Rhinolophus ferrumequinum: one gene and its partners. The protein of the gene in region 3 purifies or fractionates together with the protein of the main gene of each other region. This does not show direct contact. Links are inferred from orthologs where the notes say so. Each region holds a gene or a part of one and is shown on either strand. Other genes may lie near its edges.

The links.
Region 1: the proteins of POLR1C (region 3) and POLR3G purify together in Homo sapiens (affinity purification with mass spectrometry; 4 studies listed by BioGRID and IntAct, counting the BioPlex papers as one, with this or other methods). This does not show direct contact. The link is inferred for Rhinolophus ferrumequinum from reciprocal best matches to the Homo sapiens genes POLR1C and POLR3G.
Region 2: the proteins of POLR1C (region 3) and POLR3F purify together in Homo sapiens (affinity purification with mass spectrometry; 4 studies listed by BioGRID and IntAct, counting the BioPlex papers as one, with this or other methods). This does not show direct contact. The link is inferred for Rhinolophus ferrumequinum from reciprocal best matches to the Homo sapiens genes POLR1C and POLR3F.
Region 4: the proteins of POLR1C (region 3) and POLR3K purify together in Homo sapiens (affinity purification with mass spectrometry; 4 studies listed by BioGRID and IntAct, counting the BioPlex papers as one, with this or other methods). This does not show direct contact. The link is inferred for Rhinolophus ferrumequinum from reciprocal best matches to the Homo sapiens genes POLR1C and POLR3K.

Annotation. Positions count from the first base shown.
Region 1 is NC_046290.1:59,272,605-59,279,490, forward strand, and holds the start of POLR3G (DNA-directed RNA polymerase III subunit RPC7), read left to right. Parts: upstream 1-3,871; 5' UTR 3,872-3,992; intron 3,993-6,886. Other genes in the region: acyl-coenzyme A thioesterase MBLAC2, read right to left, coding at 2,813-3,266. UniProt on the Homo sapiens protein: DNA-dependent RNA polymerase catalyzes the transcription of DNA into RNA using the four ribonucleoside triphosphates as substrates.
Region 2 is NC_046306.1:38,710,920-38,718,523, reverse strand, and holds the start of POLR3F (DNA-directed RNA polymerase III subunit RPC6), read right to left. Parts: upstream 3,013-7,604; 5' UTR 2,853-3,012; coding exon 2,722-2,852; intron 2,007-2,721; coding exon 1,889-2,006; intron 1-1,888. Other genes in the region: DZANK1 (double zinc ribbon and ankyrin repeat-containing protein 1), read left to right, coding at 5,532-5,640. UniProt on the Homo sapiens protein: DNA-dependent RNA polymerase catalyzes the transcription of DNA into RNA using the four ribonucleoside triphosphates as substrates.
Region 3 is NC_046286.1:12,846,946-12,854,428, reverse strand, and holds the start of POLR1C (DNA-directed RNA polymerases I and III subunit RPAC1), read right to left. Parts: upstream 3,006-7,483; 5' UTR 2,928-3,005; coding exon 2,859-2,927; intron 2,737-2,858; coding exon 2,665-2,736; intron 1,470-2,664; coding exon 1,362-1,469; intron 1,118-1,361; coding exon 985-1,117; intron 705-984; coding exon 585-704; intron 490-584; coding exon 337-489; intron 180-336; coding exon 30-179; intron 1-29. Other genes in the region: protein YIPF3, read left to right, coding at 3,233-3,313, 3,933-4,130, 4,327-4,433, 5,712-5,757, 5,895-5,987, 6,152-6,283, 6,480-6,593, 6,771-6,894 and 1 more. UniProt on the Homo sapiens protein: DNA-dependent RNA polymerase catalyzes the transcription of DNA into RNA using the four ribonucleoside triphosphates as substrates.
Region 4 is NW_022680357.1:2,145,595-2,153,193, reverse strand, and holds the start of POLR3K (DNA-directed RNA polymerase III subunit RPC10), read left to right. Parts: upstream 1-4,581; 5' UTR 4,582-4,629; coding exon 4,630-4,740; intron 4,741-6,443; coding exon 6,444-6,531; intron 6,532-7,599. Other genes in the region: RHBDF1 (inactive rhomboid protein 1), read left to right, coding at 1-93, 232-651; SNRNP25 (U11/U12 small nuclear ribonucleoprotein 25 kDa protein), read right to left, coding at 1,836-1,893, 2,340-2,414, 2,944-3,049, 3,288-3,378, 4,174-4,215. UniProt on the Homo sapiens protein: Core component of RNA polymerase III (Pol III) which synthesizes small non-coding RNAs using the four ribonucleoside triphosphates as substrates. Can mediate Pol I proofreading of the nascent RNA transcript.

The DNA of each region.
Region 1 (6,886 bases), on a different chromosome or scaffold from region 3:
AGTACCTGCTACTGCTAATTCCTTTTAAGGCTCCTGCAGTGCAAACTGGATTGGCTCTTGATTTCCCATTGCTGGAATAGGATAAAACTGCTAACTCAGTTGTCACCTGCCCAGCATCCCAAAGAGTTCGTCAGTCAATGTGGATTTATACTTAAAATGAACAAACCACGGTCCCTTTACAGTAGTCTTAATGGGGTTTTGGAAGGGAGTCAAATTAGATATATTTGCTCATTTTGCTACCTTTCTGGAATCTATTTTTTTTTTTTTTTTAATGTCCCCAAATGATTCAAGTCCACCTGAAACAACTGCTTTATCCTATTGGTGACACTGGGCAAACTGTTTAAACATGCCTAATAGGAGCCAAAATGCCTGCACTTCATTCATATCACTTGAATATTGTGAAAATAGGCAAAATGTGTGCCCATTCAAGAAGAATGTGCTCTATCAATCTAAGGTTTATCACAATCTTCTTAGAGGAAGATACTATTTCACAGGTAGTAGGACAAGTTGTTTTCCATCAAAGATGATGCATTGGGTGATGATTTCTCCTTGTCCTCTTTGTCCCTCATTTACAAGTCATCTTTTGGGTTACAGTGCATATATTTATGCTTCTCTAACACAGGTAATCATCAATTCACCTAAATGAAATTTAATGACTTCAACCTCCATGTTCTAACCAAAGCAATGAAGCTTCTACGCTGTTCGGTATGTGCTGCTGATGTGTGTGTGTGTGACTGTGTATGAATTTTAATATAAATATCTTATATCTCCTTCCAGGCATCAGGATTATGATGATAGCAAGTTAGTAGACCACACCATTCAGAAGAGATGATAAGAAAATTAATATTCTCGAGAAAAGTGGAAATTAGATACTCCTTGACAGAGTGAGGCATCCAGTTCCCAGTGAAAAACAACTTTTGATTTAACACAGTATTATCACCTTCAAAGTGTCTGGTAAATATTAAGCTTTCTTTTCATACCTTCAAAGGCTTAAAGCACCAAACAGGTAGCTTGCAGGCCCCTTGCAGCTCCAAAATGCTTTAATTATAATTATAAGGCTATAATTCTAGCAGCAACTTGGATTTTGGAAACCTGGATTCTATTCCCAGCTCTTTCCCAAAGTGGCAGTGTAATCTCAGGTATGATATTGAGGCCTGCTTAGACTGTTCATCTAGGAAACATCAATTCCTATCACTGTTTCACCATTGATTTCCTATTGCTGGCAGAGAGAAAAAGTAAATAAACCAAAAAGTAATTTATTCGTGTAGACAATTTAAATATATTTTAAATAATAATGTAAACATTTCTTGTGGAATGACAGAAAATATTTATTCTGAATACCCGTCAACTACATGGAAATCTTACCTCTAAAAGTATCAGTTCTATCAAGATATACAGTAATTAAAAGTATATTTAATGTAAATGTACTTTTTTCCTCTCAAATTGTTAGGTAATATAAGATTCCCCTCTCAACCAGTTTTTTTTTAACCCTTAGATTTAAATTTTAAATGGAAAGACTTTGGATAGGGTGTGAGATATAGAATCTTGCTTTATATTTTTTATATCTCAAGTGATCAGAATCTCACCTGTAAGATAAACTGATTTTCGTAAAATATTTCATTATTTGTCATATTGGTTGGTCATAAAGTGAGAGTATTACATAGCAGTAGCTGGATTTTGCTACCTCTTCGAAGAATATTTTAATAAATTAAATTGGCAATTAAAATGGTTTCAAGATAGAGTGGGAAAAGGGGGTTTCACATCCTACTTGGAATTACCATAATATAGTTATGCAGTAGGATTTTTGTATGATCTGCATGCTTTGACATATTGTGCCTTGGTTCAAATCTTAGCTTTTGTCATTATTAACCACCTCACTTCAAATATTGAGAGAATAAAATGAAATCAACGAAAGTATTCTAAAAAGAAAAAAGGAAATTAATATACAAATATTGCTTCTCTGTCCAATTAGCTGAATTATTTAAGTGCCTGCATAGTGTTCGGAGGACAGGGGCCCTACTCGTATTTTGTTCCATTAGTTTCTCTCTGAACCCTATTCTATGTTACATGGGGTCTAAGAAGCCCAGGGCTACCGATGCATTAGTCCACATACTTAACCATCACCTGCAATAATCTCCGTGTTAATCTTTCCCAGGCCTTGCTTTCAACCAGACCAGATATCTATCAAAATGTAAGACTCAGACATATTCTACTTTTTATGTACCCTACCTGGCTCTTTCTCTGGTGAGGCAACATCAAGAACAGAAATCTATCTGGAAGATAAAGATGCAAGAGCAGATGGCAACCACTGTTCTCTAATGGCTTTCTAAACCTACAGGTGGGAATTGCTCATAGCCGGCGGTCACTGAGCAGATGAAGTCAGCAATTCGCAAAAGCAGAGAGCATGACATGCACTCTCCTTGAGGCGTCATTCCTTAAAAGTCTTCTCTCTAGAAAAGCGCCTGGAAATGTCTGACAGGTGTACGGGAAAAGAACGGGAAATTCCTAGTCACGAGTCTCTGCGGCGTTACTACTACACCTCGCAGAGGAAACGGACAAGGGGGTGGGGCCGGCTTTCATTCGAGTACTCAGCTTTGCTACACCGTGCCAGAGCTAGTCTCAGGTAGGGAAGGCTGCGATGGCCTTGGCTCTGGTCGAGTGTCAGTGCAGGTAGAAACAAAAGTGGTGTTTCTGAAATGTAGCAAAACAAGCCCCCTCACAGCCACGCACATCTGCAACATGCATCCCTCGGACAGTTTCTTCCCAACCCCCTCCCGTAATGAGAGAGCGCGCGCCCGTGAGGGCCCATTACCATCCTGCAGGATGAGGGTGGGCTGTACCGCCTGCACTCGGAATTGCCTGGCCCTCCAGCCGGGGCTGGGCGCCCGTACCACCTCACTATCGGACAACCAGGTCACGGTCTCAAAGTTGTCCCCGCGAGCCAGTGCCTCGGCCTCGGCGTGGTGCACGGCCACCCGGTCGAACTGGTAGAGACCACCGGAGTGGTCGAAGTGCACGTGGGTGGCCACCGCCAGCAGCGGCCGGCACGCCGCGTCCTCCTTGGCCCCGCCGTCCTGCAAGAGGCCGGAGGAGTACAGGTATTCCGGAAGGCTGCGCAGCCCCAGGCCCGTGTCGATCACCACGTCCTGCTCGGAGCCGCGCACCAGCCAGATGTTGGCACGGTTGCCAGACTCATAGAAGCGTTCCTGAATCCAGAAGATGCCGTCGCCCAGGGACTTGTGGGCGTACCACTCGAGCGCCGACATGCTGGGAAGAGGTGCAGGAGGGGTGAGTGTGGGCGTGTGTGCCTCCCGCAGGCTGTCCAGACTCCGGGCGCTGCGGCGGCGTGGAGCGGTCTGCCGGCAGCCAGGGAGGTGGCGCAGAGCAAGGAGGGGGAGGGGGATGCGGGTGGTGCAGGGGGTGCGGGGGATGCGGGGTGTAGAATTAGGAGGAAGGAGGCACCTAGACACTGCCTGTCGTGGTCGCTTTACTCCCACGACAGGTCCGCAGAAAGCAGAGGTTGTTCTGCCCGCCCCCGGGCGCTGGAGGAATCGCAGCCTCTGTAGCCGCAGCACAGGAAGGCGTTAACGCTTGGACCACTGGAGACCTACAAGGCGACCCTTCCCCAACCTGGGGGCGTCTAACTGCAGAGGCCGGGAGCTAGTCGTAGAAGGCACCAGATCCGCCCACCCACCGTGCGCCGCTATGCGCACTTCCAGCCCGCGCAGAGTCAGACCTTGCGGGTTGGACAGCTACGGCGCCTGCCAAGGGATAAAAAGCTCTTCGCCCAGCGGGCGGGGCCTAGCTAGGAAGTGGGCGGGGCTAACTGGTTGGGTTCCGAATTGGGCTCCGAGGCCTCGGGGAGGGCGGAGCGCGCTTCTCCAGAGGTGGAAACTGCGCCGGGCGCCGGCGCGTTCTGTCCGCACCCCTTCCTTGCCGGCCGGCGCTTCGGCTGCACAGTTTTGCCCAAGCCTCCGAGACTTAGTGAGCAGGTAACAGAGGAAGCAATTGAGGGCTGGGAAGGAGATGGAGAGGGTAGAGGGGAATTAAAGGGGCACATGGAAAGGTGGGGGAAGTCGGGTGGAAATTCATTGACGCGCTTCTCGGTTGAGGTGCGTTGAGAGATAGCTTTACCTCCCCTTCCAATCCCTTCAAAATCTTTTAAAATCATCGTTTCCATATCTTACCTAGTCGCCACTTCCTGGGACTGTTTGCAGTGAGTTAGAAAGGAATTAGTGCTCTTACTGATTGATGGTAGATTTTCAAATCCGGTGACTATACGATTGGTTCAGGCATGAATCATTGCCGCAGGCTTGCAGCTAAGGACAGACTATTCTGTATGTTTTCGTAATTGTTGGCACTTTATCCTGTATCATGGAGAGTGGGGTTGTCAATGAAGTTTTTTTCCTCTTCTGAAAAATTAAATTCTATATTCTTTCTCCACCCTCCTTTTTTAAGTTTATCCGCTCTTGGAAGAGAGCAAAGAGAGTTGATAGGCTCAACTAAGAAAAGTGGAGGCAGCCACACCTTGTGAAAATAAAAAAAAAGTGAATAATAACTGGGTGTGGCCCGCCAGCCACATAAATCACCCTCAGTATTAAAGCCAGGCCCCTTTCTCCACTCCGCACCTCTCAACTATTGAAATACCATTTAGGCTGCAGAAATCCCCTTGAGAACTTGACTAACCTCCCTACTCAGCCAGGAAAAATTTTATAGACTCATGAGACAGCATTATAAAAGAATTATGAAAAACCCTTATTGTGGCAGCTTACTAGTAAGCCTTCATACAAGGAGATGTGTACTCTCCTCCCCTAAGCTCCTAAAGTTTTTGGTGGGGACGCAGCCTTTCTGAATATATTCCTAACTTAGACTTTTTCCAGTCACTCTGTTCAGGGCTACCCTTAGTGCAAGTCCTAGAGCTAGATGTGTAAAGAACAGAATTGTGTAAAAAGATCATAATCTGGGTTCTCAAGAATTTGAGGGAAGACAGTGGGGGATATAAAATTTCTATTAATACAGTCGAAGAAAGAGACAAACGAGTGAAACTTCTTCCTTTTGGAAAAGGCCTATTTCCCAAAAGGGGAATACCTGTGTTCCAGAATTGATGAGTGTAGTAATACATATCACCTGGAGTTTTAAGAATCCATTTATTTTAACAGGAGGATCTTACCAAGAGCAAGGAGGGATGAAATGACTCTTGCTGATGTTGAGCAACTTAAACTGCATCTATAAGGTTAAAAAAGGGGCGCAGCCAGGCAGGGCAGAAGGGGAGTAGGTGCAGTGGAGAGAATCATGGTCAGGACATGATTACAGAAGAATGAGTCAGGAGGATAGGTGCAGCCATCTTAAAAGGGCTCTGAATATTTGGATAGGGAGTTTGGATTTAATTCTCTAGCCTAGAGGCAAAATAGGGAGAATAATATATAATCAGAATTATGCTTTAGGATGAATATTTTGGAAGAATAAATTAAAACAAACAGGAAGAACAAGGGATATTACAAAATTTGCAGTTAATCAAAGTGAGGTGGGAAAGAGCTAAGCTGGATTATGGTAGAAGAAATAGAAAGGAAGGGACATTTTGAAGGAAGAATTAGATGATGGATTTGATAGTAGGGGTGGAACAGAATGAGAAATCGGTACTGAGTCACTCCAAATGTTCACATGTTGGTGTCTGGGAAAATAACATACCATGGGTAGAAATAGGGACCTTATATATGAAAGGTAAGCTAGTTAGTGTAGGGGGAAGATGAACTCAATATTTTAAGTTTAAGGTACTGTCCAAATATTTTTCTGATAGTAAGAGCATGTGCTGAAACTCTGGATAAAGGTCATTGCTGGAGGTAATGGAGAGGGAGAGGTCATCAAACCCCAAGAGTGGGTGCATTTCTGAAGAGCAGGAGACCAAAGATCGGACTTTAAGGATATCCATACTTAGGGGGTTTAAGAAGAGAAGTAGACCAAAAAAAGTGTTCATTGGGGTAGGAGAACTGGAGTTTTATTAAAGCCTAGGAAAGAGAGTTTCAAAAGAGAGAAGGCAGTAATCAGATGTGCAGTTCAGAAGTCCAAGAACATGAATGAGGACAAAAGGCCAGTGGATTTTGCCATGAGGACCATTGTGACCTTTGCATTTCTGAATCTCCGTGAGTGCAGTTCCCATCATAAGTAAGATAAAAGCCAAACCCTTTACCACAGCTCCCACAGGGCTCCACAAGCTCTGACCTTGACCAGCCTCTCCCCACTCCTCACCAGCTACATGGGCTTCTTGTTCTTCAGACACTCCCAGAGCTGTGGCTTCCTCCTCTGCACTTGCTGTTGCTTCTCTCTGTAATCATCTCCACCCCATCCATCCATCTTACGGCTCCCAGGCTTACTCCAGCACAGTGCTCAGATTTATCCTCCACAAAAAGACCTTTCTTTTATGCAAAAGCCACTACCATACTCCTTTGTTATCCCTTTACCATGATTTGTTTTCTTTCCATAGCTGTATTGATTTCCTAGAGCTGCCCTAACATGTTACCACAAATCGGATGGCTTAAAACAACAGAAATTAATTCTTACGCTTCTAGAAGCCAGAAGTCTGAAATCAAGATGTCAGCAGGTGTGTTCCTTTTGGAGGCTCTGTGGGAGATGCTGTTCTATACTTCTCTCCTAGCTTTTGGTGGTTCCTGGCACTCTTTGGTGTTCCAGGCTTGCAGCTGCAGCACTCTAATCTCTGCCTCCATCTTCACATGGTGTTTTCACTGTGTGTTTCTCTCTTTCTATTCAGATTTCCCTTTTATAAGGATACCAGTGATTGGAAGAGGGCTCATCTTAATCCACTATGACTCCATCTTAATTCGATTACTTATGCAAAGACTTTTTCCAAATAAGGAAGGTCACATACAGC
Region 2 (7,604 bases), on a different chromosome or scaffold from region 3:
GTGGGATGGGCTCTTAGAGAAGAAGCTCTGGCCCAACCTGGGGATTTAGGGAGGCTTCCTGGAGACAACAGCAGAGCAGAGTCTTGAAGGACAATGAGGAGTTAGTCTGCGAATGGGAAGAAGGGCTTTCTAAGCAGGGAAGAGAGCATCAGCAAAGGACCTGAGACATGAAACAGCATGATGTGGCAGGGAACCAAAAACAATCTGTTCCCTCTGAAATGATGGAAGATGAGGTGGGTGAGGTTGGTAGGGGCTCAGTGTAGTCAGCCCATGAGTTTGGAATTGCATCTCTAGTGTTGAGAGGGTTTTTGTTGAGAAAGTGACTTGGTTAGATCTGTATCTAAAGACAGATCAGGCTGGCTGCTCTGAGATAGATGGAGCCGGGAAAACTACTTAGGATGCACTGTAATAGTCCAGGTAAAAGCCAAGAGCCTAAACACATGAAGGGGTAATAGGAATGGAAATAGGTGGACAAATTTGAGACTTGTTTAAGAGCTAAAATCAGTAATACTTTGTGATTTATTAATAATTACTCCTTGCTTAAAATTCTTCAATAGCTCCACTACTACCTATTGCCTATAGTCAATCGAACTGGCAGTAGGTGGGGTCACTAAGGTGATGAAAGAGAGGGAGTTGCTGAGGACGATTTTCAGACAGAAAAGAAAAGGCTGAAAGGGTGGTCAGAGGACAAAAGCATTTTCCATTTCCACAACCTCCCAGCATCCCTTCCTCTATCCTCCTAGATTTGAAGACCTTCACCATGGTGAACTACCTAGAAATCACCATCAGTCCTTTTTTCCTTATGCTAAAACTGGGGTCGGCAATCTGGCCCACTGCTTGTTTTCATAAGTAAAGTTTTATTGGAACCCAGCCACACCCATTTGTTTATATGGGTGGCCCATAGCTACTTTCCTGAAGAGTTGAGTACTTATGACAGAAACCATATAGTTTACAAAGCCTAAAACATATACTATCTGGCGCTTTATAGAAAAAGTTTGCCACCCTGAGCTAGAAGGTTGGAAAAAACAGTTTGACAGAAAGTTCACCTGTCCTCACACCTCCATATCCAGAGCCCTTGGATCCAGAAATCCAACAAAGCTGGTAGATTTAAAAAGCAAATAAGCTTTCAGATGAGTCCTCAGTATAGAAATCTTTTACCTAGTTGCTACTAAGACAAACTGAAATGCTCTCAAGATATGGGAGTTTTGATGATGGGTGAAAGGAAGTAGGAGAAATAGGTAAGAGCATGTGGCACACTAACAGGTGGGGTGTTTTTAGACAGTAGAGAATGACATTAGGGCCCCAGGAAGAGATAAGAGCAGGTATACGAAATATATCCCCCTGATATATAAGAGCAGGTATAACAGAAGAGGTAAGAGCAGGTACAAGGGCTTCATTGATAATCCCATCTAAAGTGTCACTCGGGGCTGAGCCTGCACTTCCACCCAAAGGCCCAGCACTGTTGATATTCAACGGGACTCATTCTCGCTTCTAGAAATGCTCACTGAGATTGTAAGAGTGATACCCTAATGAGCTGGCTTTGTGATGACTCACAGAAAAATCAGGGGAATGTATTTCGTATGGAAAGGCCCAATATCAGCAGTAGGAAGAAAACAGAAGATGAGAACAGACTATGCCTATGTGCCTTTAGGTATCTTAGCGACAATTATGTTAACAAATACAACAGTGAAAACAAAATACATTTATTTCATTCATCTTGTAAAATAATGCATAATTACTTCTTCTTTGCTCAGTTCTGGCAGTCTGAGTTGTTTCCTGGTTTAGAATCTTATCAGTCACAACCTTCTAACGTTTTCATGACTAATAACAGAAGTAAAGACAATCGTAATATATAAGTAATTACATGAACTAGTTGGATTCATCTTACCATGGACAAAAGTCTATTGATGGCCACTGCCCGCTGCTGGGCTTCTATATGAGGCATTTCATTCTGAATTACTTGGTCTGTGATTCCATGAGGGAACTGGTGACATAATTCTATAATCCTACGAACAAAGATATTAATGATATTACTCATGTTTTTACTTATTTCAAGAGACAGTGGGGGCAAATACTAGCAGAACAATTTGAAATTGTGTCCTTTTTACATTTGGTACATAGTCTGGCTTCTATGATGGTTCTAAATCAACGCATGTTAGAAATTGAGGAAGATGTTTTTGAAATACGTTTACATTATTATTGTTATTTAAGGAAAATATGTTTTCCTCATTAACATAATCTTTAAATTAGAATAAAAGTCAAATGAAAACACAGAAAAAGATATTAACGCTGCGGCTTCAATTTTTTAAGATGCAATAAGTATGACAAAATTAAGATACAGCATTGGGCAGGTATAAGTCTGCAAGCAGGAGTCATATCAGACATTTCTGGTGGGAAGCCAAAATTGGTTATAACAATTCACAATTGGGGCGTGGTTTTGGAATTATTCCCACCAAACAAAAATAAGCCCATTATCTTCCCTCTGTCACAGGATCATCATGTATGTTATTCATAAGTTTGAGGAAGTTGGGATCTTTTCAAACTATGTGGTAAACCTAAAAATAGCAGTGCACTCATAGAGAATATAACATCAGGAATATAACATTTGACGTGCCCTAAAATCTTGACTTAAATACTGCCCCGAAATTATTTTTGGATTAATGTTGCTTCGTAATCACTAATGCACTCTAACTTCGCCCAAACGTTCTGTCCTGACAGTTCCCATAGCGATAAAGGCAATCCTGTATGAGAACACGTATCCTCAAGCACCACGCAGAAACACCGAGTTTTCTCTGAGCGTCGACCACCTTAACGCAGGAAGGAAGCGCATCATCACAACTTCCGAACAGCATCCGGACACCGACACAAAGTTGCAAAGTGTCAAGCTCGTTTTAAACTTATTAAGAGTTCTGCTGTCCACAGGTGGAAGGTGTTCAGATCCGGTAATCCCCTTCCTGGACGCTCACTGAACTTGCTCCAGCATCTACTGACTGTCCCGAAAAAAGTCTGCCCAAATGACCGCCTGCCTGCGTGGGCTCCCGAGCCGGGAATCGAATCTCACTGATTTACCTGTTTTCTATTTCGACTGGATCTGCGTCAGGCGGCTGCATTTTCACCTTCACTTCAGCCATGGGACGCAGTTCCCACCTCGGGGGAAAAGAGACGCACGGAGCAGCCAGATAGCGAGCTGGGGATCCAGAAAATCGGCAAAGACAGCTTCAGGCGCGGGCGATGGGTCTTTTTCCTCGTGTCGCAGACGGTCCTTCCTTGCCTGTGGGCTTGAGGTGCCCAAGCCACGCCTGTTACTCGTCACTGGCTGGAGCCGCTACACCTTATTCTTTTTTACCAGAATGTCAGTGTCTGTCAGACGAACGAGCCTGGTTCCATCATTCTGAATTGGAACGCCACTTTTTAGCACTTTCCAATCTCTGTGAAGGCATATTCTTGGATGCCTATGTTGAAACCTTAGGAAAGGAGATTCAGGCGGATTCCCCTCTCCTAGCCAAACAGCAGGGCGGATCTGGTTGCTAGGAAGCCGGATTTCCGCCAATCATCTGCCCAACTCAGTGGGCGGGGCGCAGCTCCCCGCGTCTGTGGTAACCCAGACCGTGGCAAAGGAGAAGGCAAGAGGCAGTGAGAGGTGGGTTTACTGGCTGCCAGTGGCGGAGGCGCCTTAGGGGTTACAATCTGGGTTCCGGTAGCCAGAGGAGGAGGAGGGCATTCCTCACTCCAGCCGAAAGGAAGCAGGTGTTTCTGGCTGCTCCTGATGGGCGGGTACGCAGACCAGACGGGGCTCCAGATTTGGATCCGGTGGCAAGCAGGCAATGTTGTTGGGGTTTGGAGGTGCTGTTTATCCTACCCTCCATTTGGGCCTAGCGGATTGGTCTCCTTCTTGATCCTCTTCGCTTGGGGCCCATTCGCCGTCCCAGCCTCCCAAGGGCAGCTCCTAGTTGCCGCGCGCGAATTACTTCCTCCTCAACTATTTTTACTTTGAACTGATTTTGAACTACTTTAACTGCCTCTCACATAAATGGAAAGTGAGGACTGACAAGCCTCCCTAAACCAGCCACCCTTCTGTAGGGGCTAGTGCTCTATCAGTATTTGCAGTTCAAATTCTTGGCCTCTGACCTGGAGCTATATAACCAGGCATTAAGATCACTCCTTAAATTTAGTTATCCCAGTTTTGGGAATACAGCCTGTGACAAAACTCACGCCACAAGAGCATCGTTATTTGGAATTGTAACAACCAAAACTAAAAAGAAACTAGTTATATGTTAAATGCCCAACCACATATTGATAAATAAGATTATATGAGTAGGTGGAAAATTGTAAATAACAGAAAAATTGCAAATAATAATAGAGCGAGGGTGCAATAACTAGACTGTAAAAAAAGAATGAATATATAGATTATAAATGAGCAAGACATGTATTCATAATTTGAAAAGGCTATTTAGAGATGTAAATGGTTGCTGTATTAAGGTGAGGGTTATTTTTTTCCCTCTGAATCCTTTAGGTATTAAAAATTATGACACCTCTCAGGAAAAAGATCAGTAAGATCTCCACACTCATACTTAATTATTTATAAATATAGTAGATGGAGTGGGAGACTTTTGTTACCTGTTGCTCACTGTTTATGTTGGTACCAACTTCCTTTCTGCTGAGGTGTGATAATCTGCCATCCTCCTAAAGTTTCTTTGCAGGTAACAAATGTAAGTACTTGGCTACAACTGCAGGACCCTGAACCTGGAGCTTTCTCAAAGGACTTGGCTCTAAATGAACATACTACATGCTACTGTGTTTCACCGAAAATAAGACCTAGCCGGACCAGCTCTAATGAGTCTTTTGGGACAAAAATTAATGTAAAACCTGGTCTTATTTTACTATAAGACTGAGTCTTATATAATATAATACCTTATATATAATATAATATAACATGATAAGATATGATATGATATAATATAACTTAATATATAATATAATATAATACTGGGTCATATATTAATTTTTGCTCCAAAAGATGCATTAGAGCTGATGGTCCGGCTAGATCTTATTTTTGGGAAAACAGGGTACATACAGTGTTACTTCTGTTTTTCCTGTGTGATGACTTGCCCTGAAGCCAAGAGAGGTGGGAGATAAATAAGAGTCAGGAAAGTGTAATAATAATGATCCAGAGGAAGCTCTGATGAGATCATTAGTGAAGGTCTCTGTTCTAATATATTCATTTAATTTGGCCATTTAAAATAATTCCATTCCCCCATCCCATTCATCCATGCTCTTTTCACAGAAGTAAGTATTTAGATAATCAAAACAACACACAAGATCTCAACAGCAAAAATACAGCTGAAACAATAATTATTTCAATTAAAAATTGAATAATATTTGTAGGTGATATATTAACAGTATTCTCTTTAGCTTTTTCTAGTTTTACTATATTTTTGTAAACAAGGTGTTTCTCTTCAGCTTTTGTGTTGAAATATAGGTGGCCATTGGAATTTATTTTCATACACGTTTTAAAAATATAAGCAGGGAAAATGACTGCTGGTTCAGTGTGTGTTCCTCAGATCATACCACTGCGAGTGCCTCAGCCTGGAAAAGCCAACCATGAAATTGATAACAATACACTTTTGGAAATGAAATCAGGTAAGAATCAAAAGTACTCGAAATCGTTTAAAATAATATTGCCATACTCTTTATGTTCATCTGGTTGTTGATTTACCTCTTTGCGTGTTTTCTATAATCAGGACCTTTGGAAGTTTTTAAAACTTCCAAAATTTGAAACAGTGTTACTTGGTGGTTTGTAGAGTGGTGTGTATTTAGAGTGAAACAATTAGCTTTGATCACCCTTTCATTTGTATAGGTCCATAGTTGCAGCAATGCCTTGACTCACCTTCACCAAGATAAGATGCCTGGTACCATCCCAATAATGAGGATGCTCATTATTTTGCTGGGATAATAAATTTGATGTACTTATACAGGCTTTCCAGTCAGACAGGTTGGAAAATGAATCCTGGCTTTGACAACTTCTGGTGATCTTTGGTACATTACGTAGCCTTTCTGAGTCTCAGTTTGCTCATTGTAAGTTAGTGATAATATCTACTATTTAGAACCATTGTAAGGATTAAATGAGTTGATGTGAGGTACACAGGGTCTAGCATATAGTAATGACAAAATATATCTTAGCTATTATTACAGAAATAAATCAGTGAATGAATTCCCTACTAATGCCAGAAGTGTGTGTGTGTGTGTGTGTGTGTGTGTGTGTACGTGTACACACACACCTTTATGTACTTATACATAACATAAGAAGGAAGGAAAGTTTTATAGATAAAGCATGAATAAATACTTGTTTGAAACAGACTTTGAGATTCCAGTTACATACTTTAATAACTGATATGTGTGAAAATTATTTATCTCTAGTTATGTTACAACCACTATGCTTCGTAGACTGAGAGTTCAAACTAAGAATATATTACATTATACCCTGTCTCCTTTATCTTAAAAGCTAATATTTTTTAAAATTCTCAGAGCAAAATACAAATTTTCATATATTTGCCCATGATTCTTAGATGTTGGATGGTTATTGACAAATGATGATATGAATGAGAGGGTATCCAAATTCTTTAACATTTAAAATGTCTAATAAATAAGAGGTTCTACAATTCAGTGACAAACAGAATAATAACCCAATGGAAAAATGGACAAAGGATGTGAAAGGACATTTTATAGGAAAGGAAATATAAATGTCTTTTAATCATATGAGAATACAGTTCTAACTACCCCTTTATCTGCTTGCTGAGCAGACCTTATCCCCTGCTTTCTTCACTCCATTGCATTTAATCACCAACTCAACAGAAAATATATAATTTTTGCTTTTTGTATGTCTACTTTACTGTTTGTATGTCCTTCCTAAAACAGAAGCTCCATTAGAACAAGGAGTTACTGGTGTATTCCCCGTGCCTACAATAGTATCTGCCACACAATATGTACTTGGTAAATATTTGTTGAAGGAATGAATGAATCACTCAAAATGTAAGAAATGTAAGTTAAAACTGCAAGATACCTCTTTTTTTAATGTAGGAGATTGGCAAAAACAAAAGAAAAATTGATAACACACGATATGGATGAGATTGTTTGTAAACAGTCACTTTGATGCATTGCTGGTAGCAGTGTAAATTGTTTCAGCATCCATGGAGGGAAGTTTGGCAATATTAACCAAAATTACAAATACACATATCTTTAACTCAACAGTACTAGTTCTACATATTTTACAGATGTACTTATAAAAATAACTCTTTGCAAGTTTATTATAATGCTTGTAATGGCAAAGAAAAAAAAAAGAAAGAAACAGAAAAGGAAAACATTTAGATGTCCGTCTGTAGGGGATAGGTTAAATCTACATAAAGAGAGAATACAATTCAGCCATAACACAGAATGAGGATGCTCTTTATGTACAAATATAGAATAAAATCCATATTGTTAATAAAAAAAATGTATGGAACAGGATATGATATGCCACCATTTGTATAAAAAGAGTGGGGGAAATAATATGGACATATATGCCTGTATGGATATAAAATATATTTGGAAGGATACTCAAGATACCA
Region 3 (7,483 bases):
TTAGGTCCTGACCTGACCAAATACCGTACCGTGGACTTCATGCACTTCAATAACACCCGGTGAGAAGCACCGGCGCAGCTCCTCAGCGGCCTCCCCTTCCACGGGCTCGAGCAAGGTGATGTCCGGCAGGAGCCTGTAACTGGCTGTTGCCACAGGTGAAAATTTGGCATGATCTTTGCCTAGAGGGAAAACAGCGCCTGTGGGAAAACCCTTCTTCACGTTCCCAAAGGCCCACTGGCTTTCTGCCCATCACATCTTAGCTGAGTCCCTCAGTCACACCTCACGCCACTGGATGGGAACTACCTTCCTCGCCAGGGCAGCCCCCAGGGTTCTCACCAATGCCCTTGACACAGTGCATGAGTAGGTCGATCTCCTGGCCAGGCCGCAGCTGCGCAATGAGGATGTCGTCATGCACTGGTCGGATAGTGCCCTCCGGGAAGAGGTCAGCCTGGTTCCCCAGGGGGACCCACGTCATGTGTCTGGTGTACACTGGAGGGAGAAGCACATCAAGAAGACCCCAGTCCCTAAAACCGGCACCCACCACCAGATGGGCCCTCTTCCTTACCCTACCAATCAACACGCACCTTTGTGGTTCACATAGAGTTCATTGGGGTCAGAGGAATCTTTAGCAGCATGGGGGTTCCGAGTGCACCTGACTTGCAGCCGAAACTGCAGCGTGTCTATCTCGGTGCCTTCTTCATCTCCTGCACAAAGGGAGGAGGTGGCAGCTCTTAAAGGACTAGTGAATATTTGCGCGCCATGCTGAATGCATTCAATTTCTCCTGTAATCCTGGACAAATTTAGTAAGGCAAGGGCAGGGGTTCTCATGGATAAAAAGAATGATGTACCAAAAGATTGGTCACTTGCCTAAGGTCTTGTAGTAGTCAATCCAGGATTTGAATACAGGCAGTCTGATTCTAGAATCTACTCTGCGGAGGAGAGCTGCTCCCTTTTCCCCCAAATTTCATTTTCTCAAACCCTCACCTTGGTTCCGATATTCAAAAAGACGGGGATCGGCATGGATGGGAATGAGCCCCAAGCGATGGGCGAGGATCTCATCCTGCACAATGGATGTGTTGTTGTACACCAGGACTTTTTCCACAGCCATGGTTGGCACCTGCCCAACAAAACAGAACCACTCATCTACAAAGACCTTAAAGACTCCGCATCTATTCCCCGCCGGCTGACAGAGATAGGGAGAGACCTCTTCCTAGAAGAAGCCTTGATTAGAAGTTTACAAATGAGCAAGAGGAATGCTCAGCAAAACGGCAGGAAAAATAAACCTTGACACAATTCTACAAGCGAGGTCAATGGCATGGATTCCCCGTGCAACTCTACCCCGTCGCCAGACCCACCAATACCTCAGCCAACAGGATGCGTCGGAAAGCATTGGCAATGGCTGCATCGATCCCCACCATGTCAAACTCCAATGAGTTTTCATCCAGGTGTACCACATCCACGCGGAAATTCTAAAGGGACAAGAAAAACACTAAATGATGCTTGCTCTCTGTATAGTCAATACCTGCGGGCCCCCCCCCCACCCTCCGATATTCCCCTCAAGGTATTAACATTCTGTCTCATCCAAAAACCTCCCTTTGCCCAGATGGCCCTCATTAGATGTTCCAAGTCCTCCTTTATGAGTTTCTTTTTAAAAGTCTCCCTGTTTTCATCTTCCATTCATTTACAATCCTCTGCAGTACGGCTTCCAGCCAGACCATCCGCAAAGGCTACTGTGCTAAAGAACACGCTTCCACACTGCTTAGTCCAATAGACACTACTCGATCCTTATTACATTCCTCTGTTGTATCTGGCATTGTTGATAGGATCCCTCCTTTTTCAAACTCTGTTGCCTTGATTTCTGAGCACCAATCTTCTGGTTCTCTCCCTTCTCTGATCAATCCTTCCAAATTCATTGTCTTCCACCTACTCCATAAATATTACGATTTCCCAAGTTTTTGCTTTCCCAAACCTATTTCCCAAGTTTTCTCTCCAGAGTGACCTCAACCACACTCATGGTTTTAGCAACTATCTCTATTGACAGCTCCCCAAATTATATCTCACTTCTGACCTCAATTCAAACATATATTCTACTAGCCTGCTAGACTTCTCCACCTGAAGGAAACTGAAAGCATGTATCATCATCATTCCCCAGCCCCAGTTCTCATCAATAAATGACACCACCATCCATCAAAGCAGTTCCCCAAGCTGCGTCATTTGACAGTCTCCCCTCACGGCTGATACAAAGCAATCACTAAACCTACCTTTTATCTCCCCTTTGCTCTGTCACCTAGTGTCTAAGACACACTTTACTCAATCTTGCCTACCACTCATGCTGACCCACTTTACTTCTGCCCTCCTCCCCATTCTAGATTAAGTGCCTCTGCGGAATGGGACAGCCCCCGACCCACCTCCGGTCATCCTTAGTGCTATCAACCGCCTTTACCACATTATACTGGAATCATTTGCTTACGCGCGCTCTTCCCCAACAAGACTGAGTTTGTTCGCAGACCAGAGCAGAAACCGTGTACACGGAGCGCCTAACACAGTGCTCAATAAACGTTTTAGGAACGGAGCGAAACCCAAGGACAGCTTCTGAGGCACAGGCTGCTCAGATCACACGGTCCGATCCTCATACCCTCTCCGGACACCTCCGGCTCCACCCACCTTCTCGAAGCGGTCCTGGTCCCAAGCATCATCATAGCCGGAATAGTTACCGGGAAAGTCGGTGGTATGAACCTAGAGCAGAGAAGAGTCTGTCCGCGAAGGGGCAGCGAGGCCAAGCCCGTCCCCACTCCGATCCCAACTCATCCCTGTTCCACTCTCATTTCTCCTCCCGAGCTCAAGACCGCAAGGCTTACATTGCGAACCCCGAACTCCCCGAGAACCACGCGGCCCCGCATTTCCTCCACTGCCTGGGGCGCCGCCATCTTCAACCCCTCCACGTGACTAGGGTAGCAACTGGCGCTTGCGTTCTAATCGCCCTCCTCCGTCTCCGTGGCAACGCCCCGCCGCCTTCAAGGTTAAATATCGCGAGATTCTGCCCTGTCTCCGTCCACGTCCCCAGCTTCCGGAAGTTAGTTTTGGCCAAACATCCGGGTTTCTCCTTTTTGCATTCCGGCTGATCCCGCCTCCCTTTTGCCCCTGGACCTCTCCTTTCTTCAGGCCTACGTCTCTCCCACTCCTCCACGAGCGGGGCTAGGGCAGGCTTCCGCGACGGGAGCCCTCGAGGGACATGGCAACTACGGCGGCGCCGGCCGGCGGCTCCCGAAACGGGGCTGGCCCAGAATGGGGAGGGTTCGAAGAAAACATCCAGGTAATGGCCCCAAGGCTTCAGCTGCCAGCTGCCCCAGGGTCGGCAGTCGTCCAGAAGTGTCGTGGGGACTCTCCCTCGGGGCCTGGAAGTCTGCTCCATTTGCAGCACTGGTTCTCTCCTTTGGCTCTTCGAGCACACACGAAAGTCAGTGGGACCAGTGATGACCAGAAAAGGCCAGACTTGTACTCCAGTCAGAGGGCCTCGCTCTCTGGGCCGACCCGCTCTTGCTTTCGGGACAAATTAGGAGGTCGGTCGGGGTCAGGCATGGCAGCGGGTGGGGGAGTAATGCACTGGCTAAAACCATACTGTGTGCACAACCTTGCATGGGGGTTGGGAGAGACAAAGGAACTGGGCACATTTGTAGCCCTTTGAGACTTTGGTAGGGAAGGTAGGAGGAAGACATGTATGAAAGGTAGGGAGTACTTTCCCAGGCTAGAAAAGAGAGCCAAACAAGAAAGATTTTGAGAGCAAATGAGGAGAAGAGTGGCACCATCTATGGTGATTCCGGGCCATATCCCCCTCAGTGGAAGGACAAAGCCCCAAGTCCTGGGAGGAACAGAGAAACACTTAATGGATGGAGCAGAAAGGTCCTGCACACGAGGAGCTATTGTCTTCACAGGGTGGGGGTTCAGCTGTGATTGACATGGAGAACATGGATGATACGTCAGGCTCCAGCTTCGAGGATATGGGTGAGCTGCATCAGCGTCTGCGCGAGGAAGAAGTCGATGCTGATGCAGCCGCTGCTGAAGAAGAGGATGGGGAGTTCCTGGGCATGAAGGGCTTTAAGGGACAGCTGAGCCGGCAGGTGGCTGATCAGGTAAGCAAGACTGGATGCCTGGCAGGTGGAAAAAAACACCTAGGAGGCCCCAGGTTCTGGAGTTGGTGTTGATGACGGTCAGTCACCCCAGGTTGTCCAGTTAGAACCATGTAGAAATCCAACAGAAAATCAGCAACAGGGCTGAGAGCCAAGAGTCTCACACTAGCCACCCACCCCGCCCGTCCTCTTTCTTCAGATGTGGCAGGCAGGAAAGAGACAAGCCTCCAGGGCCTTCAGCTTGTATGCCAACATCGACATCCTGAGACCCTACTTTGATGTGGAGCCTGCCCAGGTGCGAAGCAGGTGAGGACCCTTCTCCTGACGGAAGCTGCCCTCCTCACACCTAGTCCTTCAGAGGACAGAGACCAAGTCCTTAGACACCCGTCTTCATGACACCAGCAGCCTTCATCGTTGTACCCGTACCCCAGCCACGCCATTCCTCCTCTCAATCCCAGAACGGGACATGCTGATAACACACTGCCTTCTTCCTCTTGTCCATCTAGTAAGCTACTCATCTTTCGTCAAAACCTAGCTCAAATGTCGCTTCCTTTGTTCCCCATTCCTCAGCCTCATCCCTGGTTTGTCCTTTCCTGGTGCTCCCGTATTGCTCTGCGCTTTCCCCTAATAAATAACACTTCAGCACGGCTGTACTTTCTTATTCTTGAGTCTGTCTCCCCAGAGACCACTTCAAAAGCAGGCTCTGTTTTGTTTATCTTTTCATTCCAAGCACCAGAAGAACCTCTGAATCAGAATATTGGTACATAGTTGTTGAATGATTTCAAAAACTGGAATTAATTTTGGCTTGCTTCTTTGTTCATACTTGCATAAGTCTTGCTTACCAAATACCCAGTGTACTCAGCAAGTACTTACTAAGCTTTTGCTCTGTGCCAGGTACTCTACTAGCTGTGTCTGATTTAGTGGTGAAGCCAGATGAGAGCTTTGCTCTCAAGTGTAATTACAGTGTAGCACTCATTTGCTATGAAGGGACACATAGAAGGGACTCTTGACCCTAGAGTAGGCTTGAGGTGGAACAGGGCAGGTTTCACAGAGGAGGGTAAAATCCAGCCAAATTCAAAGGTATTTTTAGGAACTAGCCACTTAAGAGAACGGGGAAGTGGCTTGTACTCGTACTTGTATTCCTTCTGCCTGGAATTTTCACACCACTTCAAATGTATTTTAAGAAAATGCTCGACAGTGCCTGGGGCAATTGTAAGCAGACAGAGGCAGGAGGCACACTGGTTCCCTCAAGTAACCTGCACTATTACAGTGTGGAATTCTGGGCATTCTCTGCTGAAGTTTGCCTTTTAGAGGGGAGCACGTCACATATGTAAATTGTCAAGCCCTTTCCCAAGGCCCAGCGGGGCTCCCTGAGTTCATATTGCTGCTGCAGCTGTCAGTACAGCATCAAAGGGTTGCCCTTCCTGGAAGTATTTTTAGGGGCAAGGAAGTGATCTCCTCATTCTCCCTGTACCATCCAGCATGTTCTCTGGAGTTAGAGAAGTGAGTGAGATTCAGGCCCTTGAGAACCTCATAGCCTCGTGCTGCCTCTGCGCTCATCTCTCCTCTCCTCTCCTCTCCCAGGCTCCTGGAGTCCATGATCCCCATCAAGATGGTCAACTTCCCCCAGGTGAATAGGGGGTGGCATGACTAGAAGAGCCGGGGGGAGGCACCGGTCAGAGGGTGGGGCCACCAGACAAAGCCTGGGGAGAAATCAACAGAAGAGCCATTGTACCGTCCAGCCTGAATGAGTTGGTATATTGACAGAAAATCGCAGGTGAGCTCTACGGACCTCTCATGCTGGTCTTCACACTGGTTGCCATCCTCCTCCACGGGATGAAGACATCTGACACCATTATCGTAAGCAGGACAGAGGACTTTGAAGGGCTGGGGGGTGGCTGAACTGAGTTGAAAGCGGCCCAAAGAGACGGTGGTGGAGCGAGTTAGAAGCAGCCCTGAGGACGGCCCTGGGTGAGGTTGAGGCCATTGGCCTCCCAGGACTAAGCACAGCCTTCCCCCCACAGCGGGAGGGCACCCTGATGGGCACAGCCATTGGCACCTGTTTCGGCTACTGGCTGGGTGTCTCGTCCTTCATTTACTTCCTCGCCTACCTGTGCAACGCCCAGATCACCATGCTGCAGACGCTGGCGCTGCTGGTAAGGAGTCCAGCACGGTGGTGGGCAAGGGTGGTCTTACAAGAGGAGCCAGGCCTTGGTTTGCATCTGTGCTGCGGCCCCAGGGCTGGGAATGGAGTAAGCGGGCCGCTCGACCGTTTGTTTCTCAGGGTCTCCGTGAGGGTCCAGAGGCCAGCCCGGCCTGAATGGTTTTCCTCTCCACCATCCTCCTCCCTAGGGCTATGGCCTTTTCGGGCACTGCATCGTCCTGTTCGTCACCTATAACATCCACCTCCACGCCCTCTTCTACCTCTTCTGGCTGCTGGTGGGGGGGCTATCCACCCTGCGCATGGTAAGATGGGCAGGGGCTGTCCTCCTGGGGAGGTGGGGGCAGCAGCCCCTAGTGCAGGCAAAACCCCACAAAGGGCTCTGAGTGGGACGCCAGAGCCCAAAGATGGTTCTGCTCTAGGGAGGAGTGGCTTCCCCACACTGGAGCCAGGCCCCCTGAGCTGTATTCCTGTGGTCCTAGGTGGCAGTGTTGGTGTCACGGACTGTGGGCCCCACGCAGCGGCTGCTCCTCTGTGGCACCCTGGCTGCCCTGCACATGCTCTTCCTGCTCTATCTGCATTTTGCCTACCACAAGGTGGTGGAGGGTAAGTGCCAGGAGGCTGGGGTGCGGGGAGGGGGCCACCGCTGCCGAGGGCGGTGCCCCGCCAGCTCACGCTCACCTTCCATCTCCCTCGCAGGGATCCTGGACACCCTGGAGGGTCCCAACATCCCACCCATGCAGAGGGTTCCCAGAGAGATCCCTGCCGTGCTCCCTGCTGCGAGGCTATCAGCTGTCGTGCTCAATGCCACAACCAAGGCCGTCGCGGTGACCCTGCACTCACACTGACCCCACCTGAAATCCTGGGCCAGCCCCGTCTTCCCCAGCTGCGGAGTGGAGGACAATTAAAGAACAGTGCTGATGACATGTGTCTTTTTGATGGGGTCGGCAGCTGCCACAGAGCCGGAGCTGCTTAAGTACCTCCTTTGATGCTGGTCGGGGCTTCCGAAGGGCACAAGGCCAGGAACTCGTGGCCAGGACTGCAGCGCTCTGCAGTCAGTGCAGAAAGTGGGTCAGCGCCCGGGAGGCCCTCTCACCACCCATCCCTTCCTTCCTTTTTATTTTTCCCACATTGTCTTGCTAAATATAGACTTGGTAATTAAAATATGGATTGAAGTCTGGAACTGCAGCTACCA
Region 4 (7,599 bases), on a different chromosome or scaffold from region 3:
CTGGCGGGCTGGCACCGAATCGCCATCATTTACCTGCTGAGTGGCGTCACCGGGAACCTAGCCAGTGCCATTTTCCTGCCGTACCGGGCAGAGGTGAGGATGGGTGCCAGCCTGGGAGCGTGTCCCCTCGGGCCCTTGATCCTGCTGTGCTCCAGGCCACGGGAGGCGGGATGAGGGGACGAGGCTGTGGGTCCGGGGGTCCCACTCGGCCCGCACTGCCTGTCCCCCCAGGTGGGCCCGGCCGGCTCGCAGTTCGGCATCCTGGCGTGCCTCTTCGTGGAGCTCTTCCAGAGCTGGCAGATCCTGGCCCGGCCCTGGCGCGCCTTCTTCAAGCTGCTGGCGGTGGTGCTCTTCCTGTTCACATTTGGGCTGCTGCCCTGGATCGACAACTTCGCCCACATCTCGGGCTTCGTCAGCGGCCTCTTCCTGTCCTTCGCCTTCTTGCCCTACGTCAGCTTCGGCAGGTTCGACCTGTACCGCAAGCGCTGCCAGATCCTCATCTTCCAGGCCGTGTTCCTGGGCCTGCTGGCCGGCCTGGTGGTCCTCTTCTACTTCTACCCCGTGCGCTGTGAGTGGTGTGAGTTCCTCACCTGCATCCCCTTCACCGACAAGTTCTGCGAGAAGTACGAGCTGGACGCCCAGCTCCACTGAGCTGCTGGCCACTGGGGCCACCTGCTCCCGGGCGCCGTCCACCCCGAGCCTTGCAGGCCACGGACGGGGCTGCCTGAGCCCCGTGTGGGGTTCTCAGGCCACGGACGGGGCTGCCTGAGCCCCGTGTGGGGTCCGTAGGCCACGGACAGGGCTGCCTGAGCCCTGTGTGGGGTCCGCCCGCGTCTTGGACACAGACCTCTTGTGCCTTGTTCACTGCTGTTGACCCTCTCGTACTTCTGGGCATTTATTACACTAGTTCCCGTGATTCCCTTCTAACTAGTCTCTTGACGACCACCTCAGGTGGCCAATAAATGGACTGGGAGCGTTTTAGCTGCCACTAACTTGACCAGAGCTGCCTTCTGCTTTCTCGTTCCTGGCTGGGGGCTGTGGCGGGACGTTCCTCTCACTCACAATTCCCCAGACAAGGAACGAAGTATACAAAACACCTCCCAGGGAAGTCCCTCAGCCAGGTTGCACCCCCTGCCCCCAGCTCCCTTCCTAGTTACCGGTAGCCACAATGGGATACAGACCCAGGGATGTGCTGTCATTTCTCCCCCCCACACACACTGAGAAGCGCCCTCCCTGCTCAGCCAGCAGTTCCAGCTGCTGCCCCAGGCCCCTCCATTTCCGGGAGCCAGGGGATGGCACCGCTGTACAGTCCTGCGGGCCAAGGCGGGAGGCCCTGCCGACGGCTGTGCTCTCACACACAGGCCCGTTTGTTTCTGCACAAGTAGAAGAGAAAGCCAGCTGCGTGTGGGGGACACACATTTATTTCCTCCTGGCCGTGGGGGACACAGTAATGGTCAGGTGGCCTCCGCAGCCCTCAGGACGCACCGGCCCCATTCTCTGCCCTTGCCTCCTGGGATGCCGCAGTGCCCGTCCCTCCTGCCGGGACCGTGGCTTGTGGACTTTTCCAGGTCAGAAGCAGAGAGGTTTATGCTGTACTCAGGGCCTGGCCCACAGCCCTGTGGCATCTGCCACGAGATGAGGGTGTTTGGGCTCAGGGAGGGGTCAAGCTCAGGTCACGAGCACTGGCTCGTCAGGTCCTAGTCCTGAGGGCCCAGGCTTCAGACAAGTCCACCTGTGCTCACTTTGACATTCTCCTGTGACAAGGGGACAGTGGCCCGAAGCTGCTTCCTGCTGGGCAGAGCTTGTCACCGGCACAGTTGTCCTCGTCCAGGGGTTCATTTTTGCCTCAGCTTTTTGATGAAAGACACCTCGTCCCGATTCCGGATACCATAACTGAAAGAGAAGGAAAGGTGTCAAGTGTCTGATCTCCAGAAGGGTACATCCAGGACTCCTCACCTGAGGCTGGTGAAAAACCAAGAAAGAACAGGTGGGAAGAGTGTGGCATCCAGGAGGGGGCAGTGGCCACACGTACCAGGGGGCAGCCTTTCACCTCCATGCACTCTTTCTCCCCTCTTCTGCCTCTGTGCTGCCCTGAACTGCCACTGGTGAGAAGCAGTAGGGCCCCTCACCCCTCTCCTCCACCCGCATTCTCCTCGTGGGGGCCCCCAGCGGGAGGCGTCAGCACAGCCAGGGTCCTCTGTAGGTCTCACAGAGTCCTCAGGAACTGACTGAGGATCCCTCCTTCCTGGGAGGGGGCCCCAGCCGTCTGGCAGAGCATGTGTAACCAGACGGCACCGCCCAAATGCCTGCCTGTAGCTCAACATGTGGCCTGGACTTACTCTCGGAGCTTCTTCCTGTCCTCTGTGAGCTTCTCTCCTGCAGAGGTCAGATGGTACGTTCTCCACACGTAGGGCCTGCAAGGTAGGGTTTCAGGTAAACCGTGAGCAGGGTGAGTGGAGCAGCTGGGATGCAGACGCTGTGACTGAGAGCGGCTCACGGTGCTCAGCTCTGTGGGCCCGGGGCAGCCGGCCGCCTCTTCTGGGCTGTTTCCTGTACACTGTGCACTGTGCCTGAGGCGGCTACAAGGAGGCCCGGCTCTATGAGGGCCGTGTGGGCCATGCAAGGGAGGAGAAGAACATCCAGGAGAAGTCCTGGATGTACCGTCTGTAACTAGGAGACCACTTCTGGACACATCACACATGCCCTAAGGTGTCCCTAAGTACAGATACCAGCTGCCTAGGTGGGGTGATGCAGATGAAAGAGCAGGTGATGCAGGACTCCCAGGCACAGAAGCACCTGCCCTGTCTGAAAGCTCCGGGCAGGGAGCGCATCACTTTAGTCAGTACTTTGTAACAGGGCTCAGTGACTAAAAAGCACACGGAGTCCTGTGGAGTCCCAGTCCAGCTCCCAGGAGGGGATGCAAAGAGCCTTGGCGCCACTTACCAGCTGATGTGTTGAATGCCGCCTTCCCGCTCCTGCCTGAGCTGCACGTATCTCTGGATGGCTTTCTTCAGGTCCAGGACTGTGGCATTCTGTACCACGACCACAGCTGCAACCAGGGACACAAAAGGGAGAAGATCCATGGTGGGAAGCCCCAGCCACAGCCTCAGGTGGGGGGAGAGGAACCCAGAAGCCCTGTCAAGCCTTGTTTCTGACCGAGGCTCAAATCTGGGTGGGTGGGCTTGTGGTTGCCCCAACACCCATGGGCATGGCCCCTGAGTGTCCCACTGACCAGCCCCTGTGAAAGCTCAGATTGCACGGCCTGAAGGGAGGAGGGCAGCACTTACGCATGACTTCTCCATCCATCTTGCACACTCGGACTGTCATTGCTTGGCCATACTCTAGGGCTATTTGGGAATTGACCTCTTCCAAAGTAACCTAGAAAAGACCAAGGGGGGAGGTGGGAGCCCTGGCTTTACCACCCCAAAACGACAACAAAGAAAAACAAGGTGGTACTGTCCAAAGAGTGGTGCAACGTTATATGAAAGATGAGAAAGGGAAAGGGTTCTTACTTATATATCAGGGTTTCCCAGTCCAGCACCTCAATCTCATGTGCCACCCACATTTCCCATTTAAAGTCCAAAGCGGACAGAGGCTCTGGAGAAAGGAGCACAGGAACAGGCAAGAAGGATGGATCCTTTCATCCAGGGGCTGGGTAGGAAGAAGAACCCTGGGCCTGCCCGTGCGTTCTGGGAGCCTCTGATCACCAGGATCCAAGCCCGGGCCTCTGGAGAAGGTTGAGGCACGTGTGCGATGATACACGTTGCCAATACAACTTTTAAGAAAATACAAGTTAACTTGAAAACTCCATGATGGACCAAAGAATACTGAAGCTTGAGAAGGGAAAAAACCGGCACTAACGATCTCGTCCTTCTTTTGTTGGCGATAGGTTTTACACCAACTTTGTGTTATGAACGTATTAAAATATTATTTTATTTATTTATTTATTTATTTATTGATTGATTTATTTATTTTGGCGCTTCTTTAATTTCCGCGCCCCACGGGAGAGCCCCGCTCGCCCCGCCCCAGGCTCGGCCCTGGTTAAGACCCTCATTTACGCCCAGAGGTGCCTTCCTGAGGCCTTTGGGCCACAGCCCCCATCAGCACCGCGCGGGATCCACACCCGACGAACGTCCCGGCGGGGCACGACGCCTGCACCCTGCCCGCGCGCACCTGGATCGGGAGATCGCAGAGCAGTGGGTCCTGCACCACCATGGCGAGACCCTCCTGGAACACGTCCACCGCCTCGGAGTGCGGCAGCGCCTCCTCTTCGTCCTCATCGTCGTCCTGCGCCTCGGGCTGTGCCGCCGCCTCCGCCGCCTCCAGGGCGCCTCGCTGCCGAGCGCGCTCCGCCCGCACCGTCCGTCTGCAAGACCGAGGCGCGGCGCTTTCGCCCGCGGAGCAAAACCCGCAGTCAGTTCCGACATTAGGGCGTCGATTGGCTGCCGCGAGGACCAATGAGAAGTGCGAGATGGCCTGCCGCGGTGCTCGCTGGGAGCGCGACATCGGCGTGTCTATTGGTGGGCTAAGGTGGCCAGGACCAATAGGAGCTCGAGGCGGGCGGGCATAGTGTCGGCTCCTGGGCGGCCGCGGGGGCTGCCGGGAGCCTGCGGGGCTGAGTCCGCCGTCATGCTGCTTTTCTGCCCCGGCTGCGGGAACGGGCTGATCGTGGAGGAGGGACAGCGCTGCCACCGTTTCGCCTGCAACACCTGCCCCTACGTGCACAACATCACCCGCAAGGTGGGTCCTGGAGCCCGGCGTCGGGCCCCCGCAGGCCTCCCGCTTCCTCCGGCTGTGCTCCACCCCTGTCAGGACGCAAGGTGGAGGCCCTGGCCGTGGTCACCGCCGAGGCCACAGCGGTCCTTGTAACGCCGAAGTCAGATCGAGTCCGTCTTGCGCTCGGTAACGCTCAGCAGTTCGCCAGCGTGAAATGTGCTCGCGGGGCAGACCGAGCGTTGACACCACGCCCCTCCCCCCAGCCTTGCTTTTCTGATGTCAGAAAAGGGGCTCTTTTGCCCCAGAAACACCAGCCTCTTGGAGGATCCCCCCTGATGGACGTGGCATTACTAGCAGCGCCTTTGCCCACGTTTCCTGTCCGGTCCAGACTTCCCCTAAGACAGCCGTGCCACTCTTTTGTCACGTCGTCACTTAAATCATCACTCAGTGTAAAATTGCAGCCCTTCCGTTTTATCCTCTTTCCCGGTTTTGGTTTTTCTCTAGGACTCCTTACCTTCTAATAACACGGTATAATTTACTTACGTGCTTTGTTTACCGAAGCCGAGACCTAAGCTGTAGGAGGGCAGGGCTCTTTCTGTTTTGTTCCCTCTTGTGTGCTAGTCGGAACGCCGAGGATGGAACTGAGGATGTGGAGGTGTTCACTGCGGTGAATTGTGCTCACGGTGTTAGGACTCGGTATTTTCCCCTTGATCTTTTGTGGGGACAGAGCCCCAAAAAGCAGTTTCCAGGCTCTCGGCCTCACATAGCAAGGTGCTGGCTCAGGTAGTAAATGGCCATCGACTGATCAAATGGCCATCAGCTGTGGCTAGTTGGCCGTCAGCTGTAACCAGTGAGCCATTGGGCACTAATATAACTGCCGTGGCTAGGCTAACAGAAATGGGGGCTAGCGAGAAGATGGTGGCTGAGCCAGCAAGTGGAGCAGTGAGGGTTGAGACTTGTGTTGCTCCTGGTTTCCTGTGTCTCCAACCCAGCCGCCAGTGAGAATATAGTGGTGTGACTCCCCTACCTATGGCTCCGTGGGTGTTCCTTTTTGGCCTCACTATGTCCTGCGTTCTTATGTGGGGAGTGGGACCAGAGACCCCGCCTGACACCCTGCACGACATCTTTACTCTTTAGAAGTAGAGCCCCTTGGGGCCACCCCGTTCTGAGTGTTTGTGTACTGCACCATATTGCTGTGTTGTGGGAGTTTAGAGTCTGGATCTATGAGAAGAGTGAACTCTTACGTAAGCCTGACATTTCAAGGATGTCGGGTAAAACTTGGGAAAGAAACTGAGTGCTTTGAAAGCTCTCTGCCTGCGGGGAGCGGCTGGGCTCCCCAGCTGGTACTCTTTGGCTTCAGGTGTATTTGTTTCTCACATCTTGGGTTAGGCGGTGGTATCTTAGAGATATGGGCGTAGAGGAGGGTCACACCTAAGCCATCGTGTCTTCCTGCTCTGGTGTTTCATTCAATCCTTGCAGAGATCTTCTCTGACGGCTGAATCTCTCTCTTCTCTTGTGGGGGCATCCCAATCGTAGGTTCTTTAAATTCCAGTGGTGCGTCCTGCTCTGTGGTAGCGGGAACACTGTTTTCGTTTAGTCTCCCTGCTGGCTGGGAGGAAGACAGTCTGGGAAGACACTTGAGGGCAGCTGTGGAGGTGTGGTTTGGTGGCCCACGGTTGCACTGTTCACTGACTTGGAGAGTCTGAAGGCTTGCTGTTGTTTGTTAGGTAACAAATCGGAAGTATCCAAAGCTCAAAGAAGTGGATGATGTGCTTGGTGGAGCAGCTGCCTGGGAGAATGTTGACTCTACTGCAGGTAAGAGGGAAAGCCTTCTGTAACTGAGCGGTGGGTAAGTATGAAGCCACTGGCTGCTGCTCCGTGGCAGTCGGTGATGTATTTAGAAAGTGTGTTTGCGCTTTAAGAACTTACTTGTTAACTCCAATGATATTGGCACAAGCCTTGGAGTCGTGCAGTCCTGAGTTAAAGTCTCGGGGTGACTTCTTACTGTTTTATGACCTTGCTGGGGTCCCTGAAGCGCTCCAGGGCTAATCCACACTCATAGGTTGTGAGAGCACCCAAGTGAGTTATAGTGTTTCGCATATAACAGGCAATTCTACAGGCGGTAGCTACGATAGCTACAAGGTCAGGAATAATACAAATCAGAGTCGCGGGAAATAAATGTGGTGGTCTTGTTCTCATGCGGCGTGTTAAACGTTAATACCAGAGAGCACCTAACTGCAGTCTCAGTAAAATAAATGTTTCTTTCAAGTCTTGATTCGTTTCTGATAGACATAGATGTGACCAAGGAAGGGCAGAGCAGAGCCCTAGACAACCTGCGCCGAGGGGAGGAACAGCGAAGTAAGATTAGTGCCATTGCTCTGCCTCTCTGGACCGGTACCCAGATCCGCCACGTGAACAATTTAGCAAAGGCAGAAGTTGTCATTAAAAGCTAAGTTATGCCCCGAATGTCCAAAATGGTGTTTGAGAATTTTTGAAGGTGTTTCCATCAAGAGCAGGGTTAGTGTCGCAAAGTAAAAACCTTTGAAGGTAAATGTGTCCTGGGGTCCTCGGAAAAGGTACGTATGTGTGGTGAGATCTTGATAAAAGCAGCCTGAGGAGCTACTGCCAAATAGACCCCTAAATACTCGGGGAAGCCGATTGGTCAGCCCTTGGCAGCTCCTCTGGGAAGAAGAGAGGGCGTCTCCACGTCCCAGGTGATGGAGATGAATTTGTTAGGGGAAGTCTGCACGGCGTGGGCCCCGTAATTCACACAGCAGCCGTGTTACGTTTCCAACCAGTCTTCTACCAGGTTTGAGAAAAACAGTGAGAAAAAACAGTTTGAGAAAAACAGGGCGGGGAGGAGAGTGTTTCCAAGCTCTCCTG